Caenorhabditis elegans: one gene and its partners. The protein of the gene in region 2 purifies or fractionates together with the protein of the main gene of each other region. This does not show direct contact. Each region holds a gene or a part of one and is shown on either strand. Other genes may lie near its edges. The genes, in order: nduf-6, cox-10, tin-44 and cyc-1.

The links.
Region 1: the proteins of cox-10 (region 2) and nduf-6 fractionate together in Caenorhabditis elegans (co-fractionation; one large-scale study listed by BioGRID). This does not show direct contact.
Region 3: the proteins of cox-10 (region 2) and tin-44 fractionate together in Caenorhabditis elegans (co-fractionation; one large-scale study listed by BioGRID). This does not show direct contact.
Region 4: the proteins of cox-10 (region 2) and cyc-1 fractionate together in Caenorhabditis elegans (co-fractionation; one large-scale study listed by BioGRID). This does not show direct contact.

What each region holds. Positions count from the first base shown.
Region 1 is NC_003279.8:7,088,852-7,091,912, forward strand, and holds nduf-6 (putative NADH dehydrogenase [ubiquinone] iron-sulfur protein 6, mitochondrial), read left to right. Parts: upstream 1-1,888; 5' UTR 1,889-1,890; coding exon 1,891-2,031; intron 2,032-2,079; coding exon 2,080-2,259; intron 2,260-2,304; coding exon 2,305-2,406; 3' UTR 2,407-2,510; downstream 2,511-3,061. Other genes in the region: nars-1 (Asparagine--tRNA ligase, cytoplasmic), read right to left, coding at 1-113, 166-638, 685-1,080, 1,123-1,206; prpf-4 (Serine/threonine-protein kinase PRP4 homolog), read right to left, coding at 2,610-2,720, 2,932-3,021. UniProt on the Caenorhabditis elegans protein: Accessory subunit of the mitochondrial membrane respiratory chain NADH dehydrogenase (Complex I), that is believed not to be involved in catalysis. Complex I functions in the transfer of electrons from NADH to the respiratory chain.
Region 2 is NC_003280.10:12,678,221-12,686,004, reverse strand, and holds the start of cox-10 (Protoheme IX farnesyltransferase, mitochondrial), read right to left. Parts: upstream 6,052-7,784; 5' UTR 6,031-6,051; coding exon 5,929-6,030; intron 5,884-5,928; coding exon 5,772-5,883; intron 4,450-5,771; coding exon 4,342-4,449; intron 4,289-4,341; coding exon 4,223-4,288; intron 4,177-4,222; coding exon 4,071-4,176; intron 3,089-4,070; coding exon 2,964-3,088; intron 2,029-2,963; coding exon 1,826-2,028; intron 1,630-1,825; coding exon 1,494-1,629; intron 497-1,493; coding exon 309-496; intron 1-308. Other genes in the region: Y38E10A.33 (Nodule Cysteine-Rich (NCR) secreted peptide), read left to right, coding at 6,414-6,479, 6,528-6,590; Y38E10A.24 (Complex I-B12), read right to left, coding at 6,677-6,745, 6,832-6,969.
Region 3 is NC_003279.8:6,177,398-6,182,477, reverse strand, and holds tin-44 (putative mitochondrial import inner membrane translocase subunit tin-44), read left to right. Parts: upstream 1-1,637; coding exon 1,638-1,719; intron 1,720-1,767; coding exon 1,768-1,934; intron 1,935-1,982; coding exon 1,983-2,063; intron 2,064-2,110; coding exon 2,111-2,260; intron 2,261-2,310; coding exon 2,311-2,374; intron 2,375-2,572; coding exon 2,573-2,636; intron 2,637-2,684; coding exon 2,685-2,770; intron 2,771-3,463; coding exon 3,464-3,556; intron 3,557-3,599; coding exon 3,600-3,694; intron 3,695-3,739; coding exon 3,740-3,811; intron 3,812-3,912; coding exon 3,913-4,236; 3' UTR 4,237-4,468; downstream 4,469-5,080. Other genes in the region: chn-1 (E3 ubiquitin-protein ligase CHIP), read left to right, coding at 780-842; T09B4.3 (uncharacterized protein), read right to left, coding at 4,469-4,673, 4,719-4,846. UniProt on the Caenorhabditis elegans protein: Essential component of the PAM complex, a complex required for the translocation of transit peptide-containing proteins from the inner membrane into the mitochondrial matrix in an ATP-dependent manner.
Region 4 is NC_003279.8:8,022,167-8,026,130, reverse strand, and holds cyc-1 (Cytochrome c domain-containing protein), read left to right. Parts: upstream 1-1,708; 5' UTR 1,709-1,727; coding exon 1,728-1,757; intron 1,758-1,855; coding exon 1,856-2,010; intron 2,011-2,056; coding exon 2,057-2,156; intron 2,157-2,207; coding exon 2,208-2,456; intron 2,457-2,502; coding exon 2,503-2,697; intron 2,698-2,750; coding exon 2,751-2,879; 3' UTR 2,880-3,457; downstream 3,458-3,964. Other genes in the region: C54G4.9 (RAP domain-containing protein), read left to right, coding at 1-230, 280-662, 712-1,152; C54G4.7 (AB hydrolase-1 domain-containing protein), read right to left, coding at 3,654-3,964.

The DNA of each region.
Region 1 (3,061 bases), on a different chromosome or scaffold from region 2:
CACAAACAAGAGCCTCAATGCGATCCATAAGTTGATCGAAAGTGATAAAAGCGCATTCAGCCTCAACGTGTTGATACTCTGACAGATGGCGACGAGTTCTCGATTTTTCGGCTCTGAAATTTATTTTTGAATACTAGTGTTCTAAAAAAATGTCAAAAAACCTACCTGTACGACTGTGAAATACAATAAACATCACCAAGAGCAGCATTGCAAGTCTCCAAATAAAGTTGAGAAGATTGTGTCAAGTATGCAGGCTCTCCATAATAATCAAGCCCAAAGAGAGTGGAACCACCCTCAACTTGTGTTTGCACCAAAGTTGGAGGAGCAACTTCAGTATATCCAGCAGCAAAGAAATGATCTCTCATTGCACGAGTAGCTGCAGCGCGAATACGAAGAATTCTTGATGCATTCTCTCCACGGATGACAAGGTGGCGGTTATCAAGCATCACATCGACTCCAGCGCTTTCGTTGAGAACGTTGTCAATTCCTCCAGCTGGTGCTTTGCCAATAACCTCCCAATAGTCAACGGTAAGCTCGTGACCATCAGGAGCGGATTTTCCATCGGGAAGTGCCTTGATAATTCCATAAACTTGAACAGAAGTCTCTGTTGAGAGAGTAACAGCATCATAACTTTGACACTGGAAAACGAAACGATTATAGTTGATCTTTGAAACTATTTCATACCAACTTATCGTTCAAAACACATTGAAGGAATCCATAACCGTCTCTAAGAACAAGGAACATGAGTGACTTTCCTTGACGACGAAGACGATGTACCCAGGCTTTGATTGAGACTCGTTGATCGCGATGCTGCACAGATTCTCCAATCTTGATAACCTTAGCTTCTGGAAGAGACTTGTCAAGAGAAAATGTAATCTTCTTGGCTTCTTCGAGAGCAGCATGTTGAGCCTCTTCGGCTTCTTTCTCCCTACAACCAGCTTTCTCCAGCTTTTTCACTTCAGCTTCGTATTTTTTCACTGCCTTTTTGATAGCAGCTTTCGCTGCTGGTTCCCACGATTCCCCTTCCTCTGACTTTTTCTTCATCAAGAACTCGCCCGAGTTTTTCGAAATAAGCATAGCCTGAAAAGTTTGTTTTTAGCAACTATATTTTTGTGTGCTAACCTGAACCAAAGTAGCCAATGGCTGAGCTTCTGTTCCGGGATGCTGATCAGATCCAGCATCGGTATCGATGTAAAGCTTGGACATGTCGACTGTAAATTAAGATATTTATGAAACAGTATACGGAGTTCCTAAAAGTTATTTTAAAATGTAGCAGAACTGAGCACAGAAAGTTACATTTAACGAAACAGAGATGAATAAATGTTTACTCATTCATTTTGAAAGACACACTAATCTGTACATTATAAAAAAGTAAAGAATTGGGAAAATCTGACGAAAATTCCAACAAAAGTGAGATTGTGCAATCGCACGAAACTGTCGTCAAGTTCAGTGTTTGCGTACTCCCCTGTCTTAACTCTTACTTTAAATTTATGCCTCCCTAGCTGAAAATCAAATCAATTTTAGACAATCTTAGAATAAACATGTATCCTATTTAAAATTTGACGGGTCAAATTAATTTATTCGTTCACAAATCACTCAGAAAACGATGTGGAAGATTCATTACGGTGCACAATGGTAATTCGTGTTTTTGACGCAAGCATTTCATTTGACGCCAAGTTGCGGGCGTTGAGAAACATCTTTTTAATTGACGTCAAATTTGTTTGAAAACAGATGATTAACAACAATTTGTCTAGTTTAAGTATAAAACAATGTTTGTTCATGTTTTATAAAGAAGGAAATTGTTACGGTTTTTACAATTATTTCTTCGTTGCTCTTTTATATTGAATTCAAAGTTGTATCGATTAATCATAATCACTGTTTGGTTTAGTAATGAACCGGCTTCTTCAACAGTCGGTTTCACGCGGACCTCTTGCCGTCCGAGCTTCTTCTACAATTACAACAAAGCCACCAACTCCGAATCAAATTACCAAAAACAATGCACAATTCGACAAGGTGACTCACACCGGACAAGTAAGTGTTTCTTATATAACTTTTCAAATAAAATAAGCACATTTTCAGGCGTGGGATCAATCTGATTATCGTCTTCAAAGATTTGATATTTCGAAGAAAAGCGTCAATCCAAATGTAGCAATGCATCTTATTGATCAACGCCCTCCAGAGGATTGCGGGGATAAGAGAGTTGTCTTCTGTGATGGAGGACATCCAGCTCTTGGACATCCGAAAGTATACATCAACCTTGTTAGTTTTTTTTTAACTTTTAATGTCACACTTTAATTTTTTCAGGACAAACCAGGAGTTCATGCTTGCGGATATTGTGGAAACCGATTCTATAACTCGCACGCCACGAAGGCAGAGGACATGAAGATCCAACACCTCAACTGCTAATTTGTCTAGCCTCTTGGTTTTATTTTTTAGTATGTATACAAAACAAGTAGCGAATTTACAATCATTTTCATTTAAAATTTCCATAATGAATCGAAAGATAACAAAAAATTTGCTGTCGAGGAATATGTATTTAAATATAGCATACATACAATCGAAATAGGAGAAGAGAAATTAGAGATCACCGAAAAAATTTGGGAAATGTATTATTTGATAGGTATGGTGAAGAATGGGTGTTTGAGAGCCTCATTGCAGGTTGTTCGTTTGCTTGGATCAAGAATCAGCATTCCATCGAGCAAAGTTCGGAACGCTTGTATCTGTGAAAATAAAAATGTAGTCATTATCCAATCAGCCATATCGAGAAAATTAACCGAAGATGAGCACCGCTAATGACATTTTATTTTCGCTCTTATAAAATCTCCATTCCAGAAAATTAACAAAGTGGAGAGGAACATAGAGCGGGGGTGAACCAGGGACATTTGGGTGGTCGACAATAGTCTAACCAGCTGCACTATAAGGTACACTAACCTGATCCATTTGGTCTCTGCTCAAACGTTGCCCGGCAATCAATTCTGATTCCAAATCGCGTGTCGGTTTCAAATTTGCAAGAACAGTAATCTGAAAACATAAAAATGTAAATACTTTGAGTTTTCAAATA
Region 2 (7,784 bases):
ATTGATTTTTTTTTCGAATTTTTAGGTGATTTTTAGGTTTTTCTAAAAAAAAATTTAATTTAAAAAACTCAAAAAAATCAAATTTTTTGCGATTTTCTAGAACTTTAATCCTAATTTTTTTTTTTGAAAATTTACCTAAATATTAAAAATTAATTAATTTTTTCAAAAAAATTAAAATTTAAAATACTTCAACGATAATTTTCCTCTGTTTTGCTATTTTTTTAAAAGTTTTTTTTTTCAAAATTAATTTTTTTTTTAATTTTTGAAAAAAAATTAATTTTTGAAAATATTTTTCCACAAAATTCTACCGAAATTCGATCCGAAATGTGCTCTTTTTGCTGCTCATTTCGTCCATAATTACTAATTCCCATCAGTAACATGACCAGCGGCAGATGTAACAGTGAGTAGAAGAACAATTTTCGACTGTTTTTCGCGTCGGGAGCCTTGTAGAATTTGTAGGATAGGTAGACGAGGTACGCGTTCACTGGAAGAGAATCTGGAAAAATTTTCGGAATTTTATTTAGGGATTTTTGGAGGATTTTCGTGGTTTTTGGGCAACTTTTAGTGCAAAAAAAATCGAAAATTTCGATAAAAAATCAATTTTTTTCCCGATTTTTTTTTAAAATTGCAATAATTTATTTTGAAACCATATTTTAAAACTGAAATTCAAAAAATTGAGGATTTTAGCACAAAATCATTGAAATAATGATATTAAGAACAAAAAATTCACAATTTTGCTCCAAAAATACGGTACCGGGATTCACCACGACAATTTTTGTTTAACGCGAAAATGTGAGTGCCTTTAAAGAGTACTGTAGTTTAAAATTTTTGTTTTAAAACTTTCCATAGTTTTTCATTAAATAAAAATATTTTTAGCAAAAAACGTTGAAAATCGATGATGAAAATTGTCAGAGTTTAAAACTACAGTACTCTTTAAAGGCGCATACCTTTTCGAATTTAGTGAAAAAATTGTCGTGTCGAGACCTGGTACCGTATTATTTTTGGCGAAAAATTGTGGATTTTTTAGTTAAAATCATTATTTTCACTGATTTCGATGTTCTTTTTTTCAATTTTTTCGCCAAAAATACGGTACCGGGTCTCGACACGACAATTTTTTCACTAAAAGTCGACAATTTTTGATTAAACTCGAAATAGTCTGCGCCTTTAAAGAGTACTGTAGTTTCAACTTTTTGTTTCTGCAGATTTTAATTGATTTTACTTTGTTTTCCATTAAAAAAATGCATTTTTAGCGAAAAATCGATAGAAATGAAATTACAGTACTCTTTAAAGGCGCAAACCTTTTCGAAATTCACGAAAAATTGTCGTGTCGAGACCCGGGTACCGTAGTTTTGGCACTTTATTTCAAATTTTGACAAAAAATCATGGAAATTTCGGTTTTTTCTCTCGAAAAACACAAAAAAAGTGAAATTTTTTCGATTTTTAGGTTAAAAATCTGATTTTTTTTCGTGTTTTTTATCCAAAATTTTCAGCACCTATAGCAAAGGTGAGCGTTGTCAAGTCTGTAAGCGGAGCAGCGATGGAGCACAATCCGAGTAGAGCAACACTGTGACGAAGTGACGTCACACGGCACAACCGCTCATTTGTCACACACATTACGCGGTAGCCGGCCTGGAAAAAATATTTAAATTTTTGTTAAATTTCAGTTAAAAATTTCAGAAAAAAATGGAATTTTTTCGTGATTTTTTTTTTTGGAAAAATTTGAAATTTTTTCAATTTTCAACTCTTTTTTCTTGAAAAATTGCAATTTTTTAACGATTTTTTTCTTGAAAAATTACAATTTTTAAACTATTTTTTAGACAATTACCTTACTATAATCGCCTCTCAAATTCCAGCTAAGACCATTAAAATGTGGAAATTGCCATGAAAAAAGAATAGTTGCCAGGCACCAGGCAGCCGGATCCAGGTACCCGGTGGCTGCAGCATATCCCATTAGTGGTGGAATTGCTCCAACTACGGCTCCGGCCCATGTGCATCCGATATGAGAACGTTTCATCGGAGTGTAGACGCCTGGAAATTTGAATTTTCGACATTTTTATAAAGGAAAATTAGATTTTTCTAGTTTTTTAAAGGAAAAAACGGCCAATTTTGCGATTTTTTTGCTTGAAAAATGCGTTTTTTAAACGTTTTTTGGAGCAATTTTTATGTTTTTTTCAGGGTTTTTTCTTGAGAGAAATTGAAAAATTGTTTTTTATTCAAGAAATGAATTTTTTTTTAAAAATTTTTTAAATAAATTTTCTAGTTTTAAAGTGAAAAAAATGGCAAAAAAATTAGATTTTTTGAAGCAGTCTGCATTCATTTTTTCATTTTTAATTGGAAAAATTGAATTTTTCCAGTTTTTCGAGTGAAAAACGGCAAATTTTGCGATTTTTTGGATTGAAAAATGCGTCTTTTAAAGCTTTTTGGAGCAATTTTCAACTTTTTATTCAAGAATTTTGTGATTTTTCAGAGGTTTTTGAAGCTTTTTGCTTTTTTTTTTTTCAGATTTTTCAGATTCAAAAATGTATTTTTTTTTTCGGTTTTTTATCGAGAAAATTGATTTCTTTTTTTTTTTTGAAAAACTGGAAATCCAGCGAATTTTTATAAATTTTGATGGATTTTTGAATGAAAAATGCCAAATTTTTCGAGTTTTTGAATGGAAAATGCGTTTTTTTTACTTTTTTCAGCGATTTTATCGGGGTTTTCAAGGAAAATTTTAAAGATTTTTTCAATTTTTTATAGGTTTTTTTTGAAGCTTTTCGCCTTTTTTGTTCAGTTTTTTCAGTGAAAAAATTGGTTTTTATTTAAAAAAAAAACTGGAAATTCAGTGAATTTTCATCAATTTTCATAGTTTTTGAGTGAAAAAAGGCCAATTTTTCGAGATTTTTTTCCGAAAATCACGTTTTTTTTCAGCTTAAAATTCAAATTTCAAAAAAATCAACGTTTTCCTCAATCTTAGCCAGCACCTGCATAAATAAACCAGTTAAGAGCTCCAAGAGCCGCAGCCAACGGGTTCGCATAATACGCGAGAAGCCCGATTCCAGTGAGCCCAGTGACTCCGGCAAACGTGAAGGCGTGAAGTGGAGAGAATCTGGAAGTTTTCATGAAAATTTGGTGTTTTTTCAATAAAAAATTCATTTTTTGGAGCTATTTTTCAGTTTTTCCACGGAAAATTCGCATTTTATGCTATAAAATTCAATTTTTGGTATTTTTCCATAGAAAATGCTGAAAAATTCGGATTTTCCTATGCACAACTAAAACTCTCGTCTGTGTTCTTCTCATTTGTGCATCATACGGAGCCTCTAGCAGTTGATTACACGCATTTAAGGGAGAAAACGGCCAATTTTACGAGTTTTTAGCTTAGAAAATGCGTTTTTAAAGCTTTTCGGGCCAATTTTTAAGATTTTTCGGCGATTTTATCGGGGTTTTCTAAAAATTTTGAAGGATTTTGTGATTTTTCATAGGCTTTTTGAACCTTTTTGCATTTTTCGCCGATTTTTTATTGGAAAAATGGGATTTTTTTTAATTAAAAAGTGTTTTTTTTTGGTTTTTATTTTGATAAAATGTTTTGTATTTTTAAAAAATGTACTTTTAAAATTTTTTAAAAACAAATTTTCGTGGTTTTTCAAGCGAAATACGGCAAATTTTTTGAGATTTTGCTTGAAAAATGCGTTTTTCAAGCTTTTTGGAGCAATTTTTATGATTTTTCAGTGATTTTTTGGGAGAAATTGAGAAATTAAGGGATTTTTAGAAAATTTTAAAGAATTTTGTGAGTTTTCAAAAGGTTTTTGGTTTTTTAATTGATTTTTAATTGGAAAAATTGGATTTTTCTAGTTTTTTAAGTGACAAAATAGGCATATTTCGCGAGATTTTAGTTTGAAAAATGCGTTTTTCAAGCTTTTTGGAGCCATTTTTATGATTTTTCAATGATTTTTTTGAGAGAAATTTAGAAATTAAGGTTTTTTCTTGAAAATTTCAAAGAATTTTGTGATTTTTCATGAGGTTTTTGGTTTTTTGCTGAAAAATTCGGATTTTTCAATATTTTTTCTTCCAAAAACCGTCCAAACCCGCACCTATGCACAACTAAAACTCTCGTCTGTGTTCTTCTCATTTGTGCATCATACGGAGCCTCTAGCAGTTGATTACACGCATTTGCAGCCGATGAGAGCAGAAATGTGCCTGAAAACTGCACTTTTTTCGCGGGTAAATTTGCACAAAAACCCACCAACAGTGGCGGCGATCAGCGAGTCAGCGGCAACTGGCACTGGCGCCATTAAAACTCCACAGGTAGCTGGAAAAATTCGAATTTCATTAGTTTTTAGCTTGAAAAACCAGTTTTTAAACCTGTAGAAGCAACGAAAAGACTCAATTTTGACTTGCAAAGCGCCAAATAGTCGGCCGCCAGATTTTTAGTCTCCATTTTATACCATTGCTGTAGATATTGATCGCCGACTGAAAAAAAAAATGATTTTTGGAACAAAAAAAATGTGGGAAAATTGCTTTACAACATGCCTATGGGGCCACAATGACCGAATATCATGATTAAAAAAATTCCAAAAATTCAAAAAATTTTCTAGATTTTATATGATTTTTTTTTTGAAAATTGGAAAAATCTCAGTTTTCACCTAATTAGTTTTGAATTTCCGCCAATTGAATTCGTTCGTTGGAGCGTGCTTGCATTATTTTTATAAATTTATTTTATTTATTCTCATTAAATATTTCACTGATTTGCTTCATTTTCTATGTTTTTTCCTCAGAAAATGAAAGAAATAAACAAGAAAAATGAAGAATGATCACTAAAAATTAAAGGTGGAGTAGAGTTAAAAAAAAAAACCGAATATAACTGTTAAAAAATTTTTAAAACATTCCTAAATTTTTTATGTTTTTTTTAGTTTTTCAAAAATCAAAGAAACGGCTGAATAAATTTGAATTCCCGCGCAAATGAGCGACGTCATTTTTGATATTTTCGCGTTTTCTGGCTAAATTCGTCGGGGTTTTTTTTCAATTTTCTCTTCTATATTTGATTTGAAACACCGTTTGTCAATTATTTAAAATAGTTATTTTGAAAAAAATTAATAATAAATATTAAATTGCGGATTTTAGGCCAATTTTGACATTTCTGGCAATTTCCTTAGGGTTATCAAGTTTTTTTTTTCACGGGAAAGTTGTTAAATAATTGACAAACGGTGTTTCAAATCAAATATAGAAGAGAAAATGGAAAAAAAACCCCGACGAATTTAGCCAGAAAACGCGAAAATATCTAAGATGACGTCACTCATTTGCGCGGGAATTCAAATTTATTCAGCCGTTTCTTTGATTTTTGAAAAATTAAAAAAATCATAAAAAAATTAGAAATTTTTTAAAATTCTTTTTACAGTTATATTCGGTTATTTGGGTGCATTTTCTGTCATTTAAAGCAAATAAATTTTTTGACTCCACTCAATCTTTAATTTTTAGTGATCATTCTTCATTTTACTTGTTCATTTCTTTCATTTTCCGAGGAAAAAACATAGAAAATGAAGAAAATCAGTGAAATAATGAGAATAAATAAAATAAATAAACAAAAATAATGCAAGCGCGCTCCAACGAACGAATTCAATTGGCGGAAATTCAAAATAACTAGGCGAAAAATGTGATTTTTTCAATTTTCATATAAAAAATCATATAAAATCTAGAAAAATTTTTTTGAATTTTTTTATCATCATATTCGGTCATTGTGACCCCATAGGCATGTTTTAAAGAAATTTCTCCAGTCCACCTTTAAATAATTTTACCAATTATATCGATATCTTTTTTGTGTCGTTTTCCGGATAAATCTAAAATTTGCGTGTCTGGACGTGGTTTTTTCGGCGAAGCCAACGGCATTTCCTCGTCTAGCGGTTTTGCCTGAAATTATAGAGCTATGAAGCTACTTTTCCACCCGGCTTTTACCCTGGGAAGCACGGAATTTACTGCGGAAGTGTGGAAAACTGCTTGACTAGTCGACGGCGTGAAGCCCACCCGAGAGCACATTAATATATGCCTGCTGAGCATTTTTTTGGGGACCCGAGTTGTCTGGTAAATCAAAAATTATTAATTCGATTGAAAAACTGTGAAAACTTTACAGAAAAATGATTAAAAATTAAATAAATTCGGGCGTTGAGAGCTGTGGATTTACGGTAAAGAAGGCGCGCTGGCGGGATTCCGGAGCATCGTTGTTGGCGGACATTTAAATCATAGTTTAATATTTTTTTTACTAAATTTTGATTTTCTATATTATTTCTAGAGAATTTCTCGATTTTCAAAGAATTTCTTTTTGAAAACAAACATTCCCTTGAATATAACGTGAAAAATTGCTTTAAACATTCATTTCCTGCTAGAAAAACACTCGGGAAATAAATTTCTCCGCTGTTTTATCTATTTTTGCAATTTTCCTCATGATAACGCCTACAATTTCATTCGGTTTTTGCTGGGAATCTCTATGCAATATTCTTTTCTACTCGGTGAGTGCTTTCATCCGATTTTAGCAAGTTTCGATCTAAAATTTTCAGTTTTGCCCCACTCAACGTGTCATTTGCTCGGAGAAAAGCATTTGTGAATGTGCTGAAGCATAATAAAATGTTTAAAATTTTTCTTTATGACTAAAAATCGAGAAAAAACACAGGAAATCGCTAAATTAAGCATCTAGTCGGCGGGATTTTCAGTATTTCCAGGCGTCGGTGTGTGCTGGAAGCTGCTTGAGTCGATCCGCGTACATTTTTGAGTGACCCTGAAACAAAAATCAATTGGTTTTATGGATTTTTAGGTTAAAATATGCTAAAAATTGAATTTTCAGCACGATTTCAGCACGCTTACCTTCATCATCTCGGCCTTATTGTATCCGGCGCTCTCCCAGCAGCGGGCGAAATAGGCGACGGCCAACGTGGCAGTCCAAAGGCCTCTTTTGTCCCAAAAAGCGTTCTTGAGGAAATATGTGGCGGTGAAGGTACCCATTCTGCAAAAAAACTGGCATTTTTTAAAAGAAAACTCGGAGAAATACAGAAAATCAAGAGAAATTAAGGGAAAATCAGCAATTTTAGGGATTTTTTATTGAAAAATCATTATTTTCCTATAGAAACTAAATTTCAGATGAAAAAATGAAGAACTGACTCTAAAAATCTTAAAATCCACGTAATTTTCATTTAATTCATTTTCAATAACTTTCACTTTAACGCCTATTAAACGTGAATTATAGGTGAAAAATAACGTATTTTATCAATATTTCAATAAAGAAAAATAAGAAAAAATCAATAAAATCCCGAAAAATCGATTAAAAACCGGCAGAAAATAAATTCGACGACAAATAAAATGTGAGACAACGACGCTCCGATATTTCGGTGGCGCGTGTTGTTTAGCAGTTTGTGAAAAGGGTGGTTTTTCAAATAGGGGTTTTGTGGAAATAGTTTTTGTTAGGTTTTCCAAGCGAAAAATAATGGTTTAATCATTGGAAAATTGAATGAATCGACTGTGAACAACTCCTCAACAAATTTCAATAGATAAGCTCTTGCAAAGTTTTAAAAAGTAAAACCAGCGTCCACTTCAAGCGGTCAAAACCAAAATCAAAACCTTCAAATTTTTACTATATAAATCCAAAAAAGATTACTTGGAGGTATGGGGAATCGAACCCCAGACTTCTCGCATGCAAAGCGAGCGCTCTACCCCTGAGCTATACCCCCATATTCTGCTTGATTGCAATAGGAAAAGAGGAGTCTACGGGTGTAACGAAAGCGAGTAAATCTTGAATTGATGCGTTTTCCTGTTAGATTATC
Region 3 (5,080 bases), on a different chromosome or scaffold from region 2:
CATTCTGCGGGATTTCTACATTTTTCTCGAGGAATCCATCAAGTGCCTTACAAGTTTTTATAGTTCAAAGAATGCTCTTGGTCTAGAGATTCTATAAAAACAAAAATCCAAATAATTTCTATCACGGTATTTCTGTCATGGACTGCGGCAGTAGGTTAAGTCTTGAATGGCATAGTCGCCAGAAAGATGGATGTGAGCGGCGAGTAGCAGTATGCAGAAAAATTCATTTTAGTATTTTTCGAGACGTTTTGACCTGACTTTCCAGAATTTTTTTAGAAAATTGAGCTCGGATGATTTTGTGGGACGTTACGCCTTGCGAAACCAAAAAAACTGAGTAAATTTCGCAAAGTTGAATTCATGAAATATTCAAAGGTTCTTGCTAGGCGCCAGTGTCGACACAGAAAATTTTTATATGCCACAAAAACAATTAAAAACGCTTCTTCACTTCTTTAACTTTAAATTTAACATAAAAATCATACATCTGAAAATTATTGGCGTGCATGGGAGGTGTGTTTGTGTGGGAAGTGCCGCGTGCCAAATTACCGTTTTTTCGAAAGGGTTCGCCAAATTGTCGAGGTGATAAAGATCGCACCTTATTGGGAAACATTACAAATTTTGAGTCAAATTGAAGGAAATTTATTCAGCTATCAGTATTCGATAGAAGAATGTACGTATGACGTGGCAGTCACGCGAAAAGCTCATGTAAAAGAGCGCTTCATGTGTTACCATACTTTTGGCCCACCCTGTAATAAATTCAGTTAATTTCTAATGATTTTCAGGTTATTGAAAAGTTTCTTGACGACAACCCATGGGCTAAATATGAACCCGGAGGCATGGTTTAAATACTATTCAGAATATTGAAAAATTCAACATTAAACATTCCTGGCTGCTTCTCAATGCAACTTCTTCACTTTTCTACATGTTTCAGTTCTTTGCATTTTTTTTTCGGATTTTTAAACTTTTATTGTTTGAACGCTGTACCCTCCTTTTCTGTTCTACCGGTATTTGTATCTTGGTGTATTTTTTAGCTTTAGTTTTCTTTCAAAATTCCATTGAATTTCTGGTAGAAAGTGCACTTCAACTTGTCGCTTAGTTCTCAATTTTACTGCTAAAAGTGAGATTCTGTAAATATTGTATGAAATAAAGAGGTGTGATGCTTTTCTTTTCATTTTACAATTTTTTTTATACCAATAGGAAGGTCTATAACCTACTATCTACGTGACTTTGTAAATAAAATAAATAAAATCGGGAAGTTTTCAAAATTGCATCACTGGGAGTGCGGGATTGCGGAGTGTCGTTGTGAAATTTAGACGGCATTTTTTTCCGTTTTTTCAATTTCGAAGCTGTTTAAGCTGAATTCTGTTCGAAAATTTGTTGAAATAAAATGCAAAAAAGAATTTTTGTTCACAAAAAATGGTTATTTTCATTCTCCGGGCATTATTATTTTTGTTTGCAGAGTTTTAGAATAACTGTTTAAAAATCCTTGATGTTTAGATCTGAAAAGCTTTCAATGGTTCAGAAGAAATTATAATTAAACCGAAATTAATTAATTAAATTTATTATTTGAATATTTCCCGCACAAGTTCCATTCTTGCCTCTTCTTTATTGAACTTATAATGTGAAAAATTATTCTTCAGATGTTGTCACGAATTTGTGGAAACGGGATACGATTAACTCGGACAAGACTTCAATTTCAGCCATCTATTGTTACTTTCAGAGGTAGGCAATGTCTATAGGTTTTCATTTCTAACTATTTCCAACTTTCAGACTACAGTAATCCAGCGCCAAAACGTGGATTTTTGAATAATCTGATTGATAATGTACGAGATGAAATGCAGAAAAACAAAGAACTTCAGGAACATCAACAACAGTTGAAAGCTCGAATGCAGGAATTAAATGAGTCAGATGCATTGAAAGATGCCCGAAAAAAATTTGTTCGTATTTTTTTGGAGTTTAAAAAAAATTAATTTTTTAAATTTCAGGAAATTGTGGAAAAAGAAACATTGAAAAGCTCGGAAGTTGTTAAACAAAAAATTGAAGAACTCAGTGATCACATGAAAAAGGTTTGGATTATAGTGACCATTTTAAATTAAAAAATACTTTATTTCAGATGGTGCACGAAATTCAAAAAACTGAGGCTGGAAAAAAGATGACCGAAGCAGGAGCAGAGGCTCTTAAACAAGCACGAAAAGCCGCAGAACACGTCGAAAAAGTTGCAGAGAAAGTTGGAGATACAGAAGTTTATAAGCATGTTTCCACTGTAAGAGTTTGCATTCAGAAGTCACACTTAATAATTTTTTCGAATTTCAGTCAATGAAAACTGTGAAAGATGAAATTGACAATATTGCCGATGTCAGAATGTATAGTAGACCAGGTATGCCAATTTTTTTTAATTCAAAAAAAAAGCAAAAAATCAATTATTTTTCAAAAAAGTTTAAACAAAGTTTTCTAATAAAGAGAATTCTGGTTAAAAAAGTGGCACTTTACTAATGTTTTTGTGAATCAGAAAATATATCAATTTTGTTGTTATAAAAGATCGTAGATTTAAAAAATTAATACAAAAATTTTTCAGAAGCGCTCACAAAACGGACAGATGGGTTCGATTTGGAGAAAGAACGGGTCGTAGAAGCCAATGAGTTCGTTTTTCTTTATTACGATTTTTTCTAATTTTTTACTATTTTCAGCTCAGCTACCGATGTAACTCTGCACAAAGATTCAAAATGGTATTCAGGATGGAAAAACTTTTCAGAATCAAATACTTATTATCACAGTGAGTTTTATGTTAAATATTTGAAAAAAAATGGTTACGAAAAGTTCGAGTCCAAAAGAGGTGAAAACTCAGGTTTCACCAATTTTTTTTTGTGAGTCGTCTATAAAAGACAATTTTGTTCCTATTTTATTTCTGTTGTGTTCAAAATATTCATAGATATTCCGAAATTGTAGTGGTTCAAGCATGTTAAAATGTTTAAATACCTTCAAAAACGTCGCAAATTCAATTTCACCACTTTGACTCGAAATAAAAATAAACTTATGATATGTAGTAATTTTTAACATCTGTGTTTTTTACCTTGATTCCATTTTACCTTTATTTAGCATTTTTCTCAGATATTTTCTCTCAAAACATTATTCTGTTGAGGTCAATTTCAATTTAGTGGTATTTGCGGACCGATAAGTAGTTTGAAACGGCACGTTTTACGTCTGGGCAGGACGAATATCCTCTCTTTCCGGCCTCGCCCCGTCCGTCTATGGAGGGTACTTAATTTTTTCGAGAATTTTCAATTTTCCTCACCCATTGGATGCAAATTTTTGGGCTCAACAATTTTTTCAAATTCAACAAATTCAAATTCAACATTCCAAACAAAAACAAAAAAAAATTCCGTTGAAAAAATAAATTAAGAAAAAGGGGAAATGTCGTAGAATGGGTTACTGTACTACTAAAAGGCCTTCATTAAAATTTTTGTAGAACTTCTCGACTGGAAAATCAAGTACGATGAGTCGGATAATATGGCAGTACGTATGATGAGAGGTGTAACGGAAAAAATTGGAAGTGTTTTCTGTAAGTTAATCTTTAAATTACCACATTTCATAAACAATTTCAGCTGGCCAAAATGAGGTTTCCGAAGTTCTCACCGAAATTCACAAAATTGACGCCAATTTCGACAAACAAGAATGGCTCAGGTTCTGCGAGACAAAGGTATCGCGAATTTTTGGAAATTTCATATAAATATATTCTATTCAGATTATTCCAAATATTTTGGAAGCTTTCATTCGTTTCGATCTTGAAGTTTTACAATCATGGTGCCATGAAAGGGTGAGTTTTTTTTAATTAGAAAATTGAGTGAATTGTGCATTGGATTCTAGAAAACACCGAAAAACGGGTAGTCTTAATCCTAATAAATTTTTTTTTTCCAGGCCTACACACAGCTATCAACAGTCGTCAAAGAGTATCAGAAAATGCATTTTAGCACAAAAGATTCTCGGATTATTGATATCAATAAAGTAGAAATGGCAACTGGAAAAATGATGGAACAAGGCCCAGTTTTGATTATTTCATTCCAAGTGTACATGATCAATGTGACAAAAAATGCCGATGGAAAAGTTGTTGAAGGAGATCCAGATAACCCGAAACGTATTAATCATATCTGGGTTCTCTGTCGAGATGTTGAAGAATACAATCCGGCACTTGCGTGGAAACTTCTTGAAGTGCACATGCAAGAAACTCCTCTTGCTCTTTAAAATTTCGTCTTTCTCAGTGTCCTAATTAAATCTCAACTTTTTCTTTTATAACTCCCCGTATTTTCATAGTATATTTCCTTTTTTTAGGCTAGATTGTTTCCTTTTTTGTTTTTTATTTTCATCTTTGTTACCTGAACGGGTGCATTTCTCTTCCTGTTGTCTTCTTTGTCTACAGATTTCTTTCGACTCAAAAAATGTTTATTTCCGTCAATTGGAATGATAATAAAAAAGTTCAATTCGGAGCGAAGATTTCGATACGGACTTTTCCACTTTTTGAGATGGAATGAACGTGCGCGAAGACAGTGTAATATTTCAGAAGGCTTTTGATTGTTGAGAAAATCGGTTCAGATGAGGACTTCTTCGAAGGATCAGAGGTGCCAACTTGGTAGAAGATTCGATTCGACACTGCACTTTTTGTTTTAATGATTGGATAATGCCTGAAAAGGCCCTATTATTTTTTGAACGAAATTTTCAACGAATACTCATGATGACGGCGGCTATTCAAATAACAGATGTAAAGGTCCAATGAAATGTTTGAATCTTTTGGTGGCTTCAGAGAGATCCCATCAATTAGGTAATACGTGAAAAATTGTCCACGTTCAGTAGTTTCCTGAAAATTGTTTCTATACTTTCAATTTTAAAAAATGTTGTCAGAAGACATTTCATTCGGGCTCTTTCCTCATGATGAGAATTCTGTTTTGCAATTTTTACCAAAAATACAGTACTCGGTCTCGACGCGAAAATTGTTTTTTTTAACTCGATACGGTGAGCGTCTTTAAAGAGTACTGTAATTTTCAACTCTTCAGTGGCGCTACATTTTTATTCGTTTTTCATTGGGCTTCTC
Region 4 (3,964 bases), on a different chromosome or scaffold from region 2:
TAGAGAAGTCTGGAAACAAATCGAGTCTGCGAAAAATACTGAAAAAATCGAAATTCTCGCAAGAAGAATGACTGCAAATTGTAGAATTCTGAGGTTATCTGGAGCTCCGAAAAGATTTCTTGAAAAATTACTCAAGGATGTTATAATATCGCTCAATGCAAATAAGGTCAACATTCCCATGAAATTTCTAAATGAGCTCGCTATTGTTTCTCCCTTTCATCCTATCCTCGGTAAGAGCAGTTGTAGAATTAAATTTCAATTGAAAAATGCGTATTTCAGTGATCGAAGATTTCAAGAAGGACTCCGAATATTTTTATATTCCACACGTTGTTTCAGAAGAGACCCGATTCCATTTGGAAGTGAAAGAGTTCACAAATTTCTTTCAAATTGAATCAACTTATCACAAAGAACAAGCATGTCAGATGCTTCAAGTGTTTAATCAGATTTACAAACGAATGGAGCTTATCCCTCAATTGGAAGCTCCCGAAATTGATAAAATTGTAGAATTTTGGCTTGCTGCTCTTCGAATATTCAATGGATATGGAATTGGGATGAACGACATAACAGAATCAGCCAAGCTTTTAGAGAAAACAGCTTCTAGATATTCTCTCAAAAGCAGACCTCTGTTTCTGAAGCATTTTCTTAAAAAAATTTCCGAAAAGGTTTGATTTCTGTTGGTGTATTTTTAAAGATTAAAAATTTCTCATTCAGAAAGATACAAATATTGGTTTGGAACCGCAAGTTGTTGCAACCATCATCACAACTTACCAGCGAAATGCATTCGGCCTCAGGTCACCTGAATTTTATGAAGAACTTGGTGAATTTTGGGCACTGTGTTTGAAGATTAAATACGATGACGTTTATTTTGCAACTGTCTACTTCTCTGCTGTGTTCGCACTAGCTCAGGCACAAGCAGTTTTCAAAATTAAAAAAGAGCTCTGTCGTGAAGTTTACCATAAGATTCTTCAACCGATGCACGAGCAGCTTGTCGACTTTGTCAAGCTGAAACAAGTTGAATCCAATAAAGCTACGAGTGAGGAAGAAGTAATGCGCCTGGAGCACCAAAATATCGGCGCAAGCTACTTTTCCATTTTGACATGCACCTACAAAAATGCTGAGGATCGGATTTTGGAGTTTATGAAAGAAAATTAGCCGACGAGTATTTTTGAAACATACTTTCCTTATTTTTTCAATTGGTCTTTCATTTGAATATCTATTTTCTTTGATAAATTAATAAAAAAACTTCTCTTCGCTCTTTTTTTTTATTCCAAAAAGCTGTAATTAAGTTATTTTCAGGAAAGAAAAATTATCTTTAAACTGTTTTTGAGCTTTCTTTTATTCTACGATAAGGTTGCAGACATCGTTATAAAAGTGGATACGCAGGTCTCACAAGAAGTGCGCCAGCACCAGGCGGGCACATTTCTCGATGCTGGCGCGTTTCTAGATGACCGTGCTGTACAAGATTTTCTTTTTCTTTAATTTTTCAGTTGTTTTTTGTTAATTTATTCAATTTCCGGGTTCATTCACGTCAGAATAATTTTACTGGATAGATTTCCAATTCGGATAAATTGAACCTTCAATTTTTAAGCAATTCCGTTGCTGGAGTTGATTTAAATTAGGAAATTGATGAATAAAATTTATGCAATGTTCACACGTTCAATTCTTTTTTAAAACAAATTTAGTGAAATAAATTAAACGAATTTTATAGGTAATCGACGTGGTACGTAATGCAGCGTGCCGTGGTTCAAGGATCTAAAGTAAGTTTTATGTCCTTTCTATTCAAAAACTCCAATTATTATTAGAAGACAATAATTTATGTTGAAATAAACAGTGAATTAATTATCGTATTTTTCAGCGTGGATTGGCGGCCCTTGCCGGAGTCACAGCCGCTTCAGGCATGGGACTCGTTTACGCTTTGGAGAACTCGGTCAGCGCTAGCGGAGACAACGTTCACCCGTACGCTTTACCATGGGCTCACAGCGGACCGTTCTCTTCATTCGACATTGCTTCGTAGGTTCAATTGAGTTTGGATAATGATAAATCGTTCATGTTTCAGTGTACGACGTGGATACGAAGTATACAAGCAAGTGTGCGCAGCTTGCCACTCGATGAAATTCTTGCATTACCGTCATTTCGTTGACACAATCATGACTGAGGTAATTTGAATAAAATAATAACTTCATGCTAATCACGACTTTTTTTTAAAGGAAGAAGCTAAAGCCGAGGCCGCTGACGCTCTTATTAATGATGTTGACGATAAGGGAGCATCCATTCAGCGCCCAGGAATGCTGACCGATAAGTTGCCAAACCCATATCCAAACAAGAAGGCCGCAGCGGCTGCCAACAACGGAGCTGCTCCACCAGATTTGTCATTGATGGCTCTTGCTAGACACGGAGGAGATGATTACGTTTTCTCTCTTCTTACTGGATATCTTGAGGCTCCAGCTGGAGTGAAGGTATTTCGTGCACACAATTGAAAGGAATTAGTGAAACATTTTTCAGGTTGATGACGGAAAAGCTTACAATCCATACTTCCCAGGAGGTATCATCTCTATGCCACAACAATTGTTCGACGAAGGAATTGAGTACAAGGACGGAACACCAGCAACAATGTCTCAACAAGCTAAGGATGTTTCTGCATTCATGCACTGGGCCGCAGAGCCATTCCATGACACCAGAAAGAAGTGGGCTCTTAAGGTAATTCATTTTAGAAAATATTATATACAAGTGAATAAACTTTAATAATTTAGATCGCTGCTCTGATTCCATTTGTGGCTGTTGTGCTGATCTACGGAAAGAGACATATCTGGTCATTCACGAAGTCGCAGAAATTCTTGTTCAAGACGGTCAAGGGAAGAGAGCCACCAAAGGCTCAGTAATCACCAGCTTTCCGCTATTTTTTCATTATCCTCTTCATTCGTCCGCAATTTCCATCAGCGATCATTTGCTCGCAATTTCATAAAATATTGTGAGATTAATCGTTTGTAAATTTAATGAAATTGCGAGTATTTGTAACCCTCCTCTCCTAGTTCATTTTTTCACAGCCTCCATCCCCTCAAAAAAAAAGAACGCGCTCTCCCTCGATCCGACCGTCGTAGTCACCAAAATTTTCAAATTGGGGACGACGTCGGGAGCCGTTTAGAAAAATTTAGTTGTCGCCGTTGTTTGTTAATTGTGAAAATAAAATGGAGAGTTTAGTATGAGTATTTTTCCATTTTCTGAGAGTTTTTGCTGTATTCGAAATAGTCAGACTCCTTTTTAAACTAAAAAGCTCACGAACTTTTTCGATGCATCATTACTTTCTCGAATATTTTTTTTATATAGGAAATCTCTTATCCGTTTTTTTTTCTCTGTAACCACGTTTTTATACCTTCTTTTCTTTTCCAATAAACCAAATAATGGTAAAACGTCGACATTTATTTTTAGTGTGGAGACGAATAAAGTTTTAAATTATAAATCGCATATGGAGATCATGTTTGTAGAATTTGGTTGAAAAATGTTCATTACCGACATAGTTCTATTTTATGAAAAGGCACACTGAGAAAGAGAAACCGGTAATGTCAAAATAGAGACAATCTCAAATTTGGCTATGGGAGTTCTAGTATCACAAGAAGAAACGGAAAATCAAAATTCTAGTAAAAATGCAAATTATTTTAAATTGTTTTCTGCTGTTGCCGTCTGAGCAATTCGGTTATTCTTCGACGCCAAAGATCATGTTTCGATAGATATGCTGTAACATGTCCATATCCTTCCATCATTTCAACAGTTACATTAGGCCATAATTGTTGATATGTTGGTGTCCCTTGATTTCGCAGTACATATTGATCCTGATCAGCCAAGAATACATGGCATAGTGATGTGTCTATTGGTGTTGGATAGAATTCAAGACTTGTGAAGTCATCCATCAAAATTCTCATCATATTCTTGGCTTCTGAATCACCGTTTCTCGCAGTCATCTCTCGCA